Linked DNA regions of Oreochromis niloticus. The protein of the gene in region 2 interacts with the protein of the main gene of each other region in a biochemical or structural test. Links are inferred from orthologs where the notes say so. Each region holds a gene or a part of one and is shown on either strand. Other genes may lie near its edges. The genes, in order: grap2b and gab1.

The links.
Region 1: the proteins of gab1 (region 2) and grap2b form a complex in vitro, tested with the Homo sapiens proteins (2 studies listed by BioGRID and IntAct, with this or other methods). The link is inferred for Oreochromis niloticus from reciprocal best matches to the Homo sapiens genes GAB1 and GRAP2.

What each region holds. Positions count from the first base shown.
Region 1 is NC_031971.2:8,430,191-8,439,729, reverse strand, and holds the start of grap2b (GRB2-related adapter protein 2b), read right to left. Parts: upstream 3,910-9,539; 5' UTR 3,850-3,909; exon of another isoform or gene 3,802-3,849; intron 1,125-3,801; exon of another isoform or gene 1,061-1,124; 5' UTR 920-1,060; intron 877-919; exon of another isoform or gene 732-876; intron 723-731; exon of another isoform or gene 574-722; intron 446-573; 5' UTR 435-445; coding exon 357-434; intron 1-356. UniProt on the Homo sapiens protein: Interacts with SLP-76 to regulate NF-AT activation. Binds to tyrosine-phosphorylated shc.
Region 2 is NC_031967.2:38,053,404-38,062,713, reverse strand, and holds the start of gab1 (GRB2-associated-binding protein 1), read right to left. Parts: upstream 3,733-9,310; 5' UTR 3,181-3,732; coding exon 3,106-3,180; intron 1-3,105. UniProt on the Homo sapiens protein: Adapter protein that plays a role in intracellular signaling cascades triggered by activated receptor-type kinases. Plays a role in FGFR1 signaling. Probably involved in signaling by the epidermal growth factor receptor (EGFR) and the insulin receptor (INSR).

The DNA.
Region 1 (9,539 bases), on a different chromosome or scaffold from region 2:
CGTTCACCTCTGCTATATGATTTTACTTTTTGATTCTGTCAAGAAGATATAAAGATTTTGTTGCAATGGCAACGTAAACAGGAAGGAAACTCGGACTTAAGCAGCAGGATGCAGTCGTGGTTGGCTGCACAGAGAACTGAAGAGGGCTTCAGAGAATAGTACAGTGCACCATTGTTGTACAAGTGTGATAAAGCACTAATATACATGGAAATACTCTGGATTATATGCAATATATATATATAAAACCTGACATTTGAATGTTTTTGCATGCTGACAACTTTTTATAACTTGTGTGAAGAGTGCTGTTGCTAAAAGCAAACCAAGGAAGTGTTTGCATGTCTGTGTGTGATCCTTACTTTCAAGCAGTCTCCTCTTTTGAAGCTCAGGTCATCCTCCGCATTAGCTTCAAAGTCAAACTTGGCCGTAGCTTCCATCGTAGACAAACCTAAGAAGGGATGAAGAAACAAAAGGTTAGAAGTACTCCTGTGTGCTCAGATAAAAATACTGAAGTGATTAATGAGCCGGGAAAACAGACGTGTGTAAGTCACCCATCAAAAGAAACATGGCACTGACATCAGTTGGTGCTCTTCTAGTATCTTAATGGACGGAATAATTCCCCACTCAATCAAGGACAGTCGCTACGTCCTTTCCGTGCATCCTTTACGACTACAACCTGTGTTAGCACCTCTACAACAAAATCCTTTAAGCGCCCGTAAAGCATATTTTCTCACCTTGAATTTTGTCCACACACACACACACACACACACAAAACAGTTTTATTTGAAGGGCTGCGCATTGTGTCTTCAGAGAACCAGGAGCAATGCGGCTGCTCGGAAAACAGGAGGGCAGCTAGCCATAACTCAAAATGACGACTTGCCAAGTACCTCATCAAAGAGGCAAAAATGTTAGGTTTACTCACCCCCCTTTGTACTGTTCTCCAGACAGAGCTGCGTTCATGCGGCTTACGAAGAGAAGTGAGAAATTTACAAAGAGAGGTGACGAACTCCTTGTCAGTTCACAGGAAACACCGTCACCTCTGGCCAGCATACACTCACATGCACTGAAATAGACACAGTGCAGAGATGCATAGAAACAGATAGGAGCCTTTCTATGCATCTGTTTATCTGTTGGCAAAGAGATCAGGGAAAACAAACAAAAAAAAAAAAACGCAGCAGAAGAAAATATTATAGTTCTATAAAGTTATTGCAAACAGTCAAAATCGACTGGATTTATTATAATATAGGTAAAATGTTTAGGTCATTATTTTATATGTAACTGTAAATCATGTTGACTAAAGTCTATTTACCAAACAAATCAAAGAAAAACAAAGCTGTGATAAAGGTTTTTTAAGTCTCTGTCTGTCACAACTGCCTGAGGTGTTGTTACACGTGTGTTTACCGACATACTATGACTGGCTTGTGGTTGCACCCAAGACATTTTAAGCACATTTGTCTTTCACCTGAAATACTTTTGTGCTCTCTGGCAAACTGAAGTATTTCATGTGTATTTTGTCTTTCTTTGGCTAGTGTTGCTTTGTCACTCTTTTCTCCCTCTGGTTTCACAGGTTGCTTCATTATACAGAGTTAGTTTTGTTTGGTTATACTTGAAATTTGCACAATACCAGCTTTGATTTTTTTTAATGTGGCCATTGCTGCTGGCCACAGTAATAAACTGCTTCTTGGATCTACAAAAACCCTCCCTTCCCACAGCTTGTCATTATGTGCCAAGTTTATTTTGTGCATTCTCTGTGTTTCTTGTGTCAGAGGTTTTCCACCAGACAAGGCAGGCAAGTAGCTTAGTATAGCTTGGATACGTGTTTGCAAGACAGGGATCAAGCAGTGGAGCACCTGAGGACTGCCAGATAGGAGAGGATGGGTTAGTGGCACTTTTAGAGGAGACTAGGGAATTAACTTAAGAAGGCAGCTTTATTGCTGTACTTGGAAACCCAAACTAAATATTAAAGAAAAAAAACAAAAAAAAAACAACTCTATTTATAATATGTTTGTATATGTGTGTTTTATACATGTTCTGTTTATTACCTTATGTGTGTCGCTATGTGTTACTTGTTGTGTTTGTAAATGACAGGTGGTGAGTGACAGGAGAATGGCGGCTAAGCTGTCATCCCTGTTGGACAACATCTCCCACCCCATGCATGAGACTGTGACAGCACTGAGCAGCTCCTTCAGTGGGAGACTGCGGCACCCACGGTGCGGGACGGAGAGATTTCGCAGGTCTTTCCTCCCCACTGCTGTCAGACTCCACAACAAAGACTTTAACTGATCAAACACACACATGTGCAATAACACTAAGTGCAATAATCTTCCTGGCATCGTTGTATTTTTTACTCAGTTGTATAAAGCATTTGTATTCTATTTTTATCTTATTGTATATTTTATTCTATTTTATTCTACTGTATATAGTATTTTATTTTATTCTATTCTGTACAGTTGTGTACTGTATTTATTCTTATTTTATTTTATTCTAATTTTTGCTTCATAACTTTTGCACTGTCCACTCCCTGCTGTGACAAAACAAATTTCCCACGTGTGGGACTAATAAAGGTTATCTTATCTTATCTTATCTTATTAAAAGTAGGAAGATTTAATTAGGGTGTTGTTGTTTGGAGGGACCAAACAGCTTGTGACCGCTGTGCTGTTGTGATTTATGTTGAATATTAAGATGAACTGTGGAATGGCAAAGGCAATCAATGTTGAGCAATACATGCTTAAGCTGACAGGATAAGCAACGCTGGAGTTATTGGATTTTATCAGTACTGCAGGTTTTCATTCATAACAGTGGCATCACGCCAAACCTGCTCACTGAACACCTCAATGACTTCAAGCGTAGACTTAGCCTCTACAATAAACAATGGTTGGACCAACCAATGCTGGTTGGAGGCCCCCTGCAGATGTTTTGTTAGGGCCCCAACAAGCTTGTAAATTGGTTGAAGTTCAAGTGTTTTTGTTGCTTTCATCATGATAGCTGATTGTCATGAATATTAAGCCAAGCTGCCATTAACTAAATCCAGCTGACAGTAATTTTACACCTTTTTATTTTTCCTCTTCGCTGAACAGGACTGGCTGTTGTTGACCAGTAATAGCTTGACCTTTATTATGCGACACTTTGGTGCTCAGTTTTAGTTTGTGTTGTGTGCATGTGCCAAATCCCCTTTCTATGGTCCCTGTTGCCCTAGTAAGCCTCATTCAAGGTCTTTACTCACCTCAGAGGAAGTGCTTTAGTTTGTGGTGTTTGTATGGAATTTCTGATCAAGCGTATTTTGGCATTATCTTGAAACTATGTATTTTTCCCCTTTTTTCCTCAGCCTGTAAAATCCCTAATGGTCAGACTGTCTAAGTGGTAAATTCCCCCATTAGTACCCCGTCACATTAAAATGGTTTTTCTGTCACATTAATTGTCACATTTTTTTCACCTAGCATGCAGAATAGTTTGCTTTAAAAATGCTTTTTAACAGACAGAGCTCTTTAATGCATTTTTGAATTGTATTTGATTGAGAAGAAACTCTGGTACTCAGTTGACTCAGTCTTCCAGCACATGTAACCCAAATAACAAAACCCCAACATGCTTAATATTAGTATGTGTTACAGCTCGGTGGGCCGGTGTGTTTGCGGTGTGGACCCAAATGCAGATATGTGAGAGAAGAACAGAGGTTTAAACAAAAAGCGAGCCTTTATTAGGCTGACTGCAAAACAAAGGGACAAGAAGACCTAAAGTGTGAAATAACTAAACTAACTATGAAAACAATGACGAGAGACATGAACATGGAACTGAACAGGTACATACAAGACATGAATGTGAAGAACAGTTGCGTGAAAAACTCTGAGGCCCGACCTGACACAAGGTAAACAGACAGACCAACTCTGAACGGAGGAAGACAGAGGACTAAAATACACATAAGGATAATGATAAAGATATGATATAATGAGAAGGATAATGAGGGGAGTGGAAACACCTGGGGAAACACAGCTGACACAAATGAACATGACACCACAAGGGAAGCAAAACTAAACACACTGACCATGGGAACACAAGACTTTCAAAATATAACAGGAAACATAATGGAACGTAGACATGACACACAAGCTTGACAACGTGGACACACACACGAAACACATGACAGACTGGACAGCCCCCTGACAGCATGATCTAAAAGTTGTTAATATCTTAGAATGCAAATTAGAAGATATACAGAGTATACAGTGGTTAGGCTGGATAGATGAATGGACATCCTTGGATTTTAACTTTTGTTTTCCTGGTAGGGTGCATTCTCCTGTGACTGGGGAATGCCCGTGAAGGTGTGCTGTTTGGCTGCATTGCTGAGGTAGGCAGTGCTTGTTAAACTAACATCCACATGAATGTTAGGGTTTCCCCGCAGAACTATGTCCTTCAAAAGATGATCAGAAATATTCACTTCATCTGCCGGTGCTTTTATTATTGTGGTTGATTGTTGGCCAAGAGCTATTTGCTAAATACACAGTCCTCACAGAGAAACACTACAAAGAGATGAAAGCATTGACTTCAATCTGGCAAAGCTGCAAATGGAAAGGACGGGGATTTGCAGAAGAAAATCAAATGCTTAACCAATCAGAGAAGAAAAAACATCACTAATTGCAGACTTTGCCGTAGCACATCGAACTGTATCAACAATATTAGTATATCAAAGAAAGCCACAGAGGCACTGACATTTCATCAGTCCACCTCAGCTTCAAACTCAACAGGGGAAGTTTAGCTTCTGTGAACTTTTCCACTGATGTAACGATGACCTATTAAACATTTCTCCAGCAGGTGAACTGCGGTTTGAACTTTTTCCCACAGCTGGAGCTTCTGCTGTGGTGCAGCCGATGCTCTCACAAACAGCATGCATGTGTTTAACTTTATTTACATGTGAAATAATTTTGTTTCCCAGGTGACAATGCTATAAAAATGAACTTGGCAGGAGACGTGAGCTCTGAGGAATAACTGAGTGACAAGTGCAATAATTGAAGATCCTTTATTATTCTTTAATGTTCATTGTTTATTCTTGTTTGGCATGTTTGTACAGTCTGTTGTTGTTTGTCCTAGTTTCCCCCTGTGCCCCGCCGTGTCAGGTTTGTATGTTTGAATTTGTCATCTCTGTTTAGTCACTTCCTGTTTTACGTTGGTAGTGTTTTGTCACCTGTGCTTTATATTCCCTTGTCTTGTTATCCCTGGCCTTATTATCATTTATATTTACTGCCTTCATGTCCCCTTGTCCTTTGAGTCATCGTTTTGCTGTGTGTTCCTAGTGTTTCCCCTCTTGGTGGAATTATTCCTTGTGGGTCCTGGTCTTTTGCTTTCTATCATTAGACTGTATTTTCCTTTCATCATTCCTGCATCAAATGTTCGCCTTTGTCCCCTGCATTTTATTTGTGTCTGCAAACAATGACCACTCTTTACATAGCTGACAGGAGGCTTTATTCTTTCTAGCTTATTAGGGACATCATGACCATTTGTTACCTTAATGGGCTACCTAATCTTGAAGAATGATTTGGGTATAACTGGGATATCTTGGTTATCTGAGTCATGGTGTGAACATATATGCTCCAGAATGTTTTCATTTTTAGTGCTGCCATCAGGGATGAGCACCATGCTCTGGTTTGTGTGCTCTGACATTTTTTTCCTTATGCAAAACTTCAGAGGCCTAAATTACATTGTTTTTCCTATTTTTCCATCCATTATGCAATGTGATGGTGGGTGCCATCACATTGTCCATGGCTCCTCAGAAGCTGGTATGTCTTCCTCTGAGCTTCCAGCGCCTTGTTCTTAAATCAGTCCTTCCTCCACCTCATCTGCTGACCGCTCTGTCTGCCTCCACTTCCACAATTTTCAATTTTGGGAAAATCCTTTCTGCCTCACTCTTCCCTCTGCTTCCTGAAGTGGGGACATATGTTGAAAATGTGAAGCCGTAAGTCCTGCTGTCGAAAAAATTAGATATTTTGCTAAGAATCTACCAGTCAGTCACAAGAACCAACTATAGAAGCTTTGCATGATTCATAGTTTCAAATAACTCTTTTACCAAATGGTGGGCTTTGGTAAAGCCAATTAGTTTATCCTCTCCTTTTCTTTAAAATCACCCTTCCTTTAAGCCAGGACTGTGTGCCTGAGATGACCATACTATGGCAAAATAGGAATTTTGTACTTGGTCTTGTTCGACATCTGAAGTGGATGTGTTTGCAAAATGTAAAGACTGAGTGTTGCTCTGTGTTTGCCACATGGTGGCAGCAGACTTCAGGGAAAAAAGGTTGAGATGTTTTTCAAGTCAGTAAAGACCATTATAGACACAAACTCAGAGAAACACAAAGTGACACTGCAGATCATGAACCAGATCATTTTTGTGCTTATTTGGGTTTCATTTGATTTTAGGTAATAAGAATATGAGAAAATATTCAATTTGTTGGCAAGAGAGGCCTCCCAATTTACCGATTTTCACTTCAAGCCAAATAATTTATCTAAAATATATTGTGTTATTTATTTATAACTGCATATACGGAAGAATGAGAGGAGAGTAGGATCAGGTAGGAGGAGAAAATTTGTGTCAATAAATAACAAGCCAGTGACATGTCAGTATCTTTCTTAGGCACAGATTAGGTTAAATTCTGAATAGTTTTCAGGTGTATGATGTCACAGATATGGATACAATTCACCCTGATTGCTGAGCTTTTTCATTTGCATGCTTGTAGCACAAAATCTGTGCTTTAGCACTGGGGCACTCACTGTTCTGCTGCTATTATATCTCTTGTGATGCTATCTGGCCACCTTTTGATTCGCTTGGATCGGCTGGTGAGAGCAAAGATGCCAAACTCAAGTGGCATGAAATCGCTGCACTGATGGATGCAGTGATTTGTCTCTGTCCTTTTAAAGGGCACCACCGTGTTGTCTGATAGAAATGACAATAAAATGTCAAATAACTACAAGACAGAGCCAAAGAATCAGAGAATAAAAAGGACTGATGCTACCAAATCAGTTCATGCTGCTGCTAGGAGCTCTGAAATGCACTCATTGGAAAAGCTGGGGAAAAGAAAAGAACTTTGCACTAAAAGTCATCAGAATGCTTCAAATGGGAACCACATCTGTACTGTTTTTTGTGCTGATTGTTCCAGGTATATGTGAGCTGAGCCAATCTCAGCTGTTTCACGGTGAGAGGCAGGGGACACCCTGGACAGTTCGCCAGTCTGTCACAGGGCTAACACATAGACACAGACAACCATTCACGCCCACGGGCAATTTAGAGTTTCCAGTTAACCTATTCCTACTAACTCCTTGTCTTTCCAATGCTGGAGGAAGCCAGAGTACCTGGAAAGAACATGCAAACTCCACACAGAAAAATCTCCAGCCTGGTGATGGAAGTGAAGTCAGGGCCTTCTTGCTGCGAGGTAACAGTGCTAACCACCGTGCTGCCAATTTTAAAGCTTTTCTTCTTCTTTTTTTTTTTAGCTTGAAGTGACCAAAAATACACCAAAATGGATACATTTAAACATAAATAGTCTTGTACAGGTGATTTCTACTTTTACAACCTCTGGCTGTTTTTTTTTTACATTAGCCTGAATAAATGGCTTATTTATCCATTCAGGTGTTTTTGAGCCACTAGTGTGGGTCAAATCAATAGAAACTATTGATTAAAACGAACCTGAAACTAAAACTGTGAAACTGTTCAATCCAAAAGTGGTGACAGAGTTCAAGGGAATTCTTAACAATATCACGAGAACGGTTTGTGATGTCAACACATTAGCCCAGGCTCCTGCAGAGACAGGTGCCTTCTGCCCTTTAAAGGGTCAAATCTCCAAACACTGAAAGAGTGAAACAAAGAGATCAATATATGGTCCGCATAAGAAGCAGAGGTCATACAGAGGTCACAGGGTGCCCTGAGAAATGGTGACTTGATGCAAAAATGAGTGCACAGTATGCATGGTTAGCACAATTGCCTCATAGCAAGAAGACTCCTGGTTCAAATCCCAGCTGAGGCCTTTCCGTTGGATTTTGCACGTTCTCCTCAGCCTACATTTGTTTCCTCTGGGTACTCTGGCTTCCTCACTGTCCAGAGATGTCCATTTTAGGTTAATTGGTGATTGTAAATTGGCCATGGATGTGAGGTAGATAAAGTGGTTGCAGCACTGTGTGAGTGTATAGTGTGACTTGTAGCTAAAAGCACTTGGTATGCTACAAAGAAAGGGCAGACGGTACAGATAGCCTAACAGAAAGGAAGTGCTGAAGTAGAGTACATATGGAAATGCAGCTGGGGCCAAAGCAAGCAGATTCTGCCACCACCAACACACTGTTGGTTTTCCTGTCTCTGTCTCTCACTCTGATATTCACAGTCGGTCTCAGTGGTTGGCCTGCCATGGATGCTCAGATCCCCATGTGGTGTTAGCCGGGCATTTCATCCTGCGTCTAGGCTGAAAGAAAATGTGATTTTAAAAAACTGAAAAAAAAAGAAGCAGCGCCTAAACAATCGGCATTCCTACCATGAGGGGGCCGATAAATGGACTCCATGCAACCTTGCAGATGCTTATGTGCATGATTTTTTATTTATTTATTTTTATAATGCTAAAAGAATCATTTGGTAGCTGTTTCCAAGGTGACCTGCAGCTGTACATGGATCTGTTGTTTTGCAGCTTATTATGCAGGATCAAGAAAAACAAAGGGGGTACAGGTGTAATAAGGCATTGTGTTTGTGTGGGTGTGTGTGTGCCTGCATGTGTACGTATTTGTTTGTGTGTGCGACACACTGTTGACTGCATTTAATGGCCTGGGCCATGAAATATCCCATCTAGTTTCATGACAGAGCTCATAAAGCTCTGTTTTCAAAGATGGAAAGGACTTGTACATGGCTCAATGCAGAGCTGCCATTCAGCATTAATGGGCCTGTTAACTCTGCATGATGTCCGTGACTGTGTGTGTGTGTCTGTGTGCATTCGTGCTTGGTGACAGTCGCATCTTTTAGGTGTTGAGGTACTTCAGAATCTGGAGGGTGACTGAGTGAGCGCACCTAGAAGAGGAAGAGATAAATGTATTTGACAGAGAGACGGAGATGTATGATAAATATTCTGTGAGCACACATCACATTTCATTCAGTTTACCTCGCTTAACTCTACTCGGCTTCTCCCCCATGTGTGTCCAAGTGCGAGGAGGAGGGAAGAGAGTGAGGAAGAAAGGGAAGATTTTGAGTGCTTTGATGAGCAGTTTTCTTGGAAATCTAAAAAAAACCCTGAAAACAAAAAGAGTCCCACCAGGATTTAAAAACATCGCGGCCATCAATGAGTCTCAGCACAACAAAATTCCTTCTTACATTCATATTGTTGACAGTTCCCATTCCCTTAAGTGAAACTTGTACATGACAGAAATAATCGTGGTAGTATCTCTAATGCATACTTAAAATAAAAAAAAATGGCACATCGGAGCCTGTTGTTACAATTTAAACATCATAAATCTTCATAAAAGAATTGACTCCTTTAAAATGAATGAAGTTTAATGTGATGAATGATGATTTGGATGATGAGTGGGCT
Region 2 (9,310 bases):
CTTTGCCCATGTTCAGCCTAAAGTTTCATACACAGACAAATGTAAGGTATAGGACCCAAATTAGAGTGAAACAGGATTAGCTTTGCTGTATTTCATTTAAATCATAGGTTAGGAATTTTTCAACTTGAAAAACTGAAATCATGAATAACTCTCTCGAGGTGAAATGTAACATTTCAGGTGTACCGTGGCTGACTGAAACTTATCTTGTAGCATCCTGCTACGCATTAATCGGATGCAACCGCATAATGGAATGGAATAAATGTCAAATATAAGAGCCATTCACACCAGCAATTTAGACAGATCATTGTATCCCATTATCCTATCGAGTGCCATAAATGCTACATACTTTACAGGCCGTGGCTAAGTAACGTTCAACTCTGTGGGTGCTGCTGAGTGGTGTTTGAGCATCTGTGGTGCTGGGATGCATAAAATCAGAGCTCTTTATTCAAACCTTTCCAAGGCTAGGTTTTGAACTTGTCTGTAGAGCACCACTGCACCATTACATTGATGGAGAGCAGGACTTTTGGAGGTATCCAAACTGTGATATATATCCAAGAGAGGGCCTTTGCAGAGCCAACTCTTTCTTCAACTGTGTTTGACCTTCTGGGTGTGTGTGTGTGTGTAAAACATGTGTTATTGTACTCAAGGTTTCAAAATTTACCTCATCATTATCCCTGGTTTGCTTCCAGAGAATGTGTGTGTGTGTGTGTGTGTGTTTTCAAATCTTCTAAATCTTCAGGGAGGCCCTCATCTTCTAACCAGGCATAGCTGAGTGTGATTAGTTTATTACATAACGCACACACAGCTTTCAACAGTACAGGGAGTGTGTGACGAAGTACACTCCATGAACTTTACCCACTATACATGAACAAGCACACACAAACTGTCTGCTTCTGCCATTGTAGGGGACTGTGCATGTTTGTGTGTTTAAGTGTGAGTGTGTTGATATTGGAGACACAGCTGGCCAAGCAGTGTATGCACACATTTCATTGTATATACCATCATGACTGAATATATACACAGACTCAACAATGGTCTCTCTGTTTGGAGCAATTTTCTTTTTCTTGCCGTCTCGCCTCTCTGCGTTTTCGTCTCTTGTCTTCTTCTCCCTTTTCCTCCAGCTCTTCTTCTTTGATTCCAGTGGATGTGCACGGTCTCCTTAATTTTTAACCAAGCAGTAAGAAAGTGCAACTCCAGCACTCCACTTTCTTTGAAATCTGATTGTTCCCTCCTAAAAACGTTCCCTGCGATGGGTCTACTGATGTCAGCTAAGAAGAATTAAATTGAAGTCTGCCTAATTAATGCTGGCACAGTTTCTCTGTGCTTTTCGCCGGCCTTTTAGTGATGCTTTGTTTCAGCTATTTCATCAAAGAGCCGTCTTCTCACGTAAAAGCTTGCTGGTTCAAATCTGGAAATTGTTCAGCTTTCCCTGAGCAGATTCTGGTATTGAAGGCAGCTTCACTTCCTATCACTTTTTCTTCTAGACTATTTTTTATCCTTCACTTTCCCTGCACACACACACACACACACACACACACACACACACACACACACACACACAAAGACAGACAGAGAGAGAGTGGGGGCAGGAGGAAAGGAAAGCATGTGATCATAGGAGAGGAAGAGAGAGCACAAGAATGAAAGAGAAACACAGAGAGAGGTACACCAAACATTTGTTTAGAAATGGAAAGAATAAAACATCAAGGGAAAATATGGAAGGAGAGATGAGATTAGCTCAACTCACTGGTAAGGTATGCCAAATATGCGGTGCATGCATGTGATCCTAACTGCCTAAGCTGCTTCTTTACTGGAATAAAGCAGCCAGTGGTGCCACTGGACACACCAACTTGCATGAATTCATTAATCCATCCTTCCACTTATTCTACATAGTGAAGGAGAATTCAGGAAAAAACAAAACTGGTCCAAGTCTCTGGTATTCATTACAGGCACAGAGCCAGGTTGTCAGGTTTGGGATTTGAAAAATGCTAAATAACATTTTTGTGGCTTACATGTAACTGGAAACAGTTGTTCCTTTTGACAGCAGCTAGAACTGTCCACTTTGTTCATTTTACATGTTTATCAGATCACAAGTTACATTGTAGCAATGTTGTAGCTCATCTTTAAGTCAGTTATGTTTCTAATGACAAGTTGTATAACAGTTAGTTTGTAGGACTAATATATCAGCTAAAGATCAGCGTATTTATCTGTGTCACATCTTTGTTTTTGTTTTTTCAAAGATAATGGGATTAAGGCTTAACATTTTTGGCTAAGATGTATGCATTTTACATAAATTCATAGAGAAAGGACTCACAAATAAATTCACCTACAATACGATACAAATACAAGACAGCTACAGATGTCACTTTAAGGATATTGACTGCTGTGCTAGCTGTAATTAAAAGTCTGCTTCCTGACTGAAGTAAACAAACAGCTAGCTTGCACGCTAATATGCTAACTGTAGTAGAAATATTGTAGCTGTGCTAAAGATATAGCATACAATCGAGCTGTTTTTCTTTTTCTCTAGATTTAGCTTGTGTATTAGCTGTATTCTGAATAGGGCCAAATAAATAATGTGTGAATTCTCATTTTTTAGAAATAAAAATCTATCCATTTGTTTACGAATCCACTGCAAATCCAGTTCACGGTCATGGTGGTGATGGAGCCTATCTCAGCTGTCTTAATGTGAAGGATGGGGTAAACCATAGACTTGACTTTGTCCTTCCACAAATATTCTCTTTATTTTATAATGTGGTAGTACAAAGTCAAGTAACATTACAGTGTTGCTTCCTGTCTAGTTGACAGGTGTGTTAGGATGGATAGTTTTTATTGTTTTATAATCAAGAGTGTGTAACTGTAGGAAATGACTCACTGTGTAAACACTGATGAAACTGAGACGAATCTTCAAACTTAATTAAATGCTACAGAGACAAACCTCCATGAACAGTTAGTAATACTTCTGTAGTTGTACTCCTGATTAAAAATCTTTGTACAGCTTTAGGATACTTCATATACCCACACTGGACATCACAAAGATACAGAACATATGCACAGTTTTTTGTATGTTTCATTTTTTCAAAATGTTTCAAATTCAAATAAAATACTCACATAGCGCCTCAGCTTTTTCTCTGGGGGAGACTTTCGCAGCCACCCTTCACACACCACCTCCCCTGCTCCGCTCATCCCGATGCCAACAAAAATGGCTCCAGCAGCGCTTCTTTAATTATCAATCAACCAATCAGATGGACCTCAGTTGATCAGGATGCCAATAATGTGTCAAAGCAGGCAACCATTCAGTTGATCACCATGAATTTCCAACAGTCAGGTACATTTAACCAATCAAATGTCACATGGGTTAATTAAACGTTTCAGTAAGTCTTCTGTTTTGTTAAAAATGATCAATTCCAACCAGATTCGAGATCAGCTGATTTGCCTTTAAATTGGTAAACAAGGCATCCAAGCTTCGCACCAGTCTGAGGTCCAGTCAGTTGATCTGTACATGTGTAGGTCAGGCTTCCACTTGTCAATCAGACTTTTAATAAGTTAAGGTTCCCAGTCTGTTTTTAAGTAAAATCCTGCTGTAATGAATCAGTTGAGCAGTTTCTATCCACACATGGAAGAGCCTCTGTTCACCCGTCGACGCCTGAGTCACACCTCCTTTTGAGAAAGCTTCAACTTCCCAGCAGTCACTCTTCCCTCCCTCCTCCCTCCTTTCTCTCACTCTCTCGCATTTTGTGGTTGTGTGATAACTGAACACAATGCCTCAGCTCGGACATTCCTGCTCTCCTCTCCACCCACTTTTCCCTCCTCCTCCTCCTCACTCCTCCCATTCTCCTCCTGTTCCGTGTAACAGGAAACTCCCCCTGTGGATATGGATGCAGCTTTTTTTTGGAAAATGTGCGAGGGAAAAGAAAGATGTCTACTTTAAAATAAAGTGAACATGGCATGGACATAAGTTGAATAAACTGATGGATAAATTAGATTTCTAAATATAATAAGCATGAGTATGGGTCTACTATGACAGACTAGACTTTTGATATCAACAAAAGAAAACATATGTTCAACAAAACAAGAAAAAAAAAACTTCTTTCCTTCAACAGCATCTATTTGGTTTGTTTTTTTTAATTTCTACTTAAAAAAAGATGCATACATTCAGTAACAGCTCAACAGCCATTATGAACAACCTTGGGGTCTATTGATGATTATATCTTAATCCATGTACCTTGGTATCTCCAGGTATCTTGTGTGAAAGAGCACTGAAAGTTGTTTAAGGTTTAGGCTTAACCCTAAGTTGATCAGTTTCCAGAGTTCCAAGTACACTTGAAATTAAAGACTTCTTTAAAATATATTATATTGGTAAAAGGGAGGCTACAGCACCCTCCAGTGCTGAAAGTCTCAAACTAAATAGTAGATGAAGTCCACTTTCTTCAGTTTCTTCTCTTGTAATAACTTCAGTTTACATGGCTTGACTATTTCTTGTATTATACCTTATATTTTATTTTTTTAATTCTTAAGTTATTTTTTTTTATAATTGAACTGTTTTCAAATCAAAACCTACACATAAATTGATTTATTGTCAATATTATCTTTATATGATGCTCATTTATTTATTCCTTTCTTATATTGCAGTTGAAGTACATGTATTATTTCTGTTAATAGTAATTTGCTTGACATAAAAAACAAACAAACAGAAGCTTTATATTTAAAAAAAAAATGGCACAGATAATTTTCCAAAAGTTGATTCTGTTCATCTGGACGTAGCGTTTTCAGTGGGAGAAACATTTCGTCACTCATCCAAGTGAGTTCTTCAGTCTCAGCTGACTGCAGGTCTTTTAAACATGTAGTAATTCCCACCATGATGACCTCATGGTGGGAATTACTACATGTTTGATGTGGCAGACTTTTGCCTCAAATGCCTTTTTAGGACAAAACCCCAAATGGGATTTGTATCTCCAACTATAACTGAACCAGGGACCTTTCATTGCCAAGCAAATGTGTAAACTACAACAGCTCAATAGTGTACTAGAGCAGCTGAAAGTTGATTCTTAAGTTATTACTCCTTTACTAAATATAGTATTAATATCTTATAGTATCATTTTTCTTTAAAACTGGCAATTGTTCCCTCAAACACCTAGGAAAAACTCAGGTTGTATGAGTTGTACTTCTGTTTTGTGTGACTAGGTGGGAGAATTAGAACTTGCTGTACTTTTGTCAAAGAAAATCATGCATTATTAGAAGTATAAGGTACAACAAAAGGCATTAACACACCCCTGAACAGTTTCAGGCTTTTGAACTAAGCACTTGTAACCAGCTGGATGGTCCCTCTTATCTTTAGTTCAGAGGTCATCCAAGTTTTCCAAAAGTAATTTCAAATTTCAATTTCTCTGACCTCAGAACAATTTTACATGAGTGATTATATCCATTATTATATCACTTTATTTTAAATATTTAAGTCTGTATAATTTTATGTTAAGGAACACTGTTCTTAAATTCTTCCTCCGTTTGTAGACTTTCTTTTTTGTTGTGTTTTTTTGTGACCTCCTGGGTGAGTCATCAGTGCAGTCTTGGAGTAATTTTTGTACGCTAGCTGCTTCTGGGAAAGTTCGCCACTCTTCAAAGTTTTCTTCTTTTGTGGATAATGACTCTCATTTAGTTTGGTGTGGAGTCCTAAAACTGTAAAAACTGCTTTGTAACCTTTTCCAGGCTTACATTTTCACATAGGTTTGGATATCATTTTTTTAAAAATCGTGATTAAAATGAAATAATGATTTAAATGATATAAAAACAGTTTTTTTCTAATATACTTAGCTTTAAGTGTGAAAAATATCCAAAAAAAAAGGGTAAGCGGCAAAGACTTGTTCACAACTGTATATGTATTTGTGACAAAAATAAGTGGACTTACCTGCTGTGGGGACCTCTTGTGAATAAGGAAGTGGCCAAAAGTAGGTTCGTTTTGTCATTTCTTAAATACAAGAGGAGAAAGAATTTGTAGGAATGAAAAATAGTACAGGGAGAGAAACAACAATGTTTCTGTCAGACAATGTAAAAATACACTGACATTATGTGGCCATCTGTTTAGCTAGTTATCAGTTTGTGTTTGATACAGAGTGACATATGGCTATTTACTGCCATCTGGTGTTAGTTATACAGAACTGCAATTAAAGTCACTGTTGTGTTCTTGTTGTTGTTTTTCTGTTGACAAGAAAAACAGCTGTTGATATTTGTCTTTTTCATAGCCATTTTAGGATTTTCTTGTTAAAGAAGGTCTCTCAAAGATTTAGACACCAAAGTGTCAAACTGACACTGACTGTCTCTTGGATTATTAACTGAACATACTTGAACTGATTGGCGCCGTAGGCAAAACACAGGGGGACCATCCAACCAGTGTTCAGCACCAACTCTGCAGATATTGAAAATGAAAAATCCTCCAACGCTTAGAGATAGGGTGAGAAGTTCGGCCATCCGGGAGGGGCTCAGAGTAGAGTCGCTGCTCCTCCACATCGAAAGGAGCCAGTTGAGGTGGTTTGGGCATCTGACAAGGATGCCTCCTGGGCGCCTCCTGGGTGAGGTGTTCCGGGCATGTCCCACCGGGAGGAGGCCCCGGGGCAGACCCAGGACACGCTGGAGAGATTATATCTCTCGGCTGGCCTGGGAACGCCTTGGTGTTCCCCCGGATAAGCTGGAGGAGGTGGCTGGGGAGAGGGAGGTCTGGGCTTCTCTGCTTAGGCTGCTGCCCCCGTGACCCGGCCTCGGATAAAGCGGATGAAGATGGATGGATGGATGGATGGATGGATGGATGGCTCACCCAACAATATTACATTTCCTATGATTTTTCATCTGATATGTACTGCTTCATTTCCACGGATATAAAATGAATATTGTTGCACATTTAAAAAACAAAAAAAACCCTGCAAGTAAAGGGTGGACTGGTGGGGCGTGGTGCATTACTTCAATGTGACTCTTATGGCAGAGTCACAGTTTTTTGCATATCAATTTTAAATATATTATTAACTAAAAATACACCTGTGAGAAATAATAATAGGTCATTTGGTCGAAAGCAGTGATTCGATTCTTCTTGATATACACATATTCACTTTGTGTTATTTTCATGATTAAACACCCCTGCGAGAATCAAAACAAGAAAGCTCATATTTGAATAAAACACGAGGGCAGCTGTGATGACCTAAAGTGCATTACTTGATTTGTATACACATGGATCGTTGTTTGTTTCAAAGTTATTTGAATTATGAAAATGTTCTGAAAAAATGAGTATCATTTGCATGGCTTCATTCTAGCTGCATGATTAGCTGGTGGTGATCATTTACAAAGTCCTTCTAAGAGCACATTTCAGCCATCTAGAAGCAAATCTTTGTGGTTGAGTTAAATTTCTACTATACGTGTATTTTCATAACATTGCAGCTTTTCTAATCTCTCAATCCAGAGTGCCGTCATGGACACACCTTGGCTCGTGTAACTGACAACACTGAATAAACGTCATGCTAATTGTTCTCTGGCCTTGTGGGAAAAGGGGAAAACAAAGAAAATATAAAGGCCAACGTATTTTAACCGTGTAAAAAGATTCAAAGAACGAACTTGAATTATAGCATGTGTACTCCTGTACTCCTCCCTTCACCTATTACAAAAACACTCATTTTCTAAAAGAGGTGGACATTCGAATCAGACATTTACAAGAGTGTCTCACAATAGGAGGAAGATCAGACTACTGACAAAGAGAGTCTTCTTCTTCTTTTTCTTCTTTTAGCTGCTCACTTTAGTCACCACAGAGCATCCTCCTCAATCCTCCATCACTTCACACTACTTACAAGGGAAAAGTTCTTTAAACATAAAAAAATAAAATAAACAATATTGTCACAACTAAACAATTATAGAATATTTCTCTGTTTTTACATCTTTAGTTTTTCATTCAAGACATAATTAAATCACAATGTTCTGTATGGTTTCAATGTAGTTTTATTCTATCTTTGAATATAATTTTCATATCTTGAAATGAAGCGGTGGAAAAGAGATACATTTTGCTGCAAGTGCAGGGGATTGGTTAACAAAGTAGGACAGATGAAAATTGAGTGATGTCATGAAACCGCAATTTCAAAAAGACTGAGTACAAAAAAACAAAAAACAAACATATTTTATCCACAAAAGAGCCAGAAACCATAAGAAAAGTTTAAAGTGAGACAATTTGTAATTTCATGAAAAATATTAAACGTTAAATGGTAATAAAAATAATATAACAAGACCATCTTAGACGGGCATATTTTCACCAATCTGGAAAGAACTGCATATACAATTTGTTGAACAATCTAAGAATACTGTTTCTCAATATGAAATTGCAAAGACTTTGAATATCTTGTATGATGTACATAATATCATTAAAGAAACTGTGAAATTTTGAATTAATGGATCAAGGTCAAAAATCTATATTGGAAAATTAGGACAAGGCCATGTGTTCCTGCCATCAAATTCAAAATCAGCTTATTTTGTTTTTACAGTGGTACATTTTCTCAGTTTGACATTTGATATGATTTTATGTTTTATATGTGATTGTTATTTTATATTTTCTTCCAGATGTCAGTAATCTCATCCACCTCCAATGACTCTCTTTCCTTGATCAGCTATTCTCTTCCTTTGAAAATACAGTGTCTTGTCTACAGACCAAGTTCCTTCCGTTTCATCTCCTTCAGCATCACCAATATCCTCCTCCTCCTCTGCACACTTATCCTCTACTATGGTCTGCAACAAAGGTGGAGAGGGCACTCTGTCTCCTCAGCATCAACAGCAAGTCATTCAGACAGTTTCACATACCACATAGTCACTATGGAACTAATTTATAGTTTTGGATGTATCCTCATTTGTTTCGCTAACTACAACCAAGATTTAAATATACTTTTAGTGGGGGCCCTTATGCATTTGTCCAACTGGTTTGGCGAGACTTCACGTCTTGACCTGTGTGGAGCGCTACCTGGCTGTTGGTCATCCCATCACCTTCTTGGGACTGAGAAATGAAAGAGGAATCGGAATGAGAAATATATCTAGTGGCTGTGCTTGGCTGCTTTCTATGTTTGGGACAGGTTTGGCAATAAAAGAAGACATCTTTTTCATTGTGTACTTCTGGCTCCATATAATATCCATAATAACTATATCTTTCTGCAGTCTTTGTGTCATGACCCTGGGTCATGTTGACCCAGCATTCTTAGTTTTCGTGTGATTTCCCCTCGTGACTTTACCCTCTGTGTGCCCCTCTGTGTATCTGTGAGTCCTTGTTTCCCCTCCTTGTGTTTTATTCCATGTTTTCCCC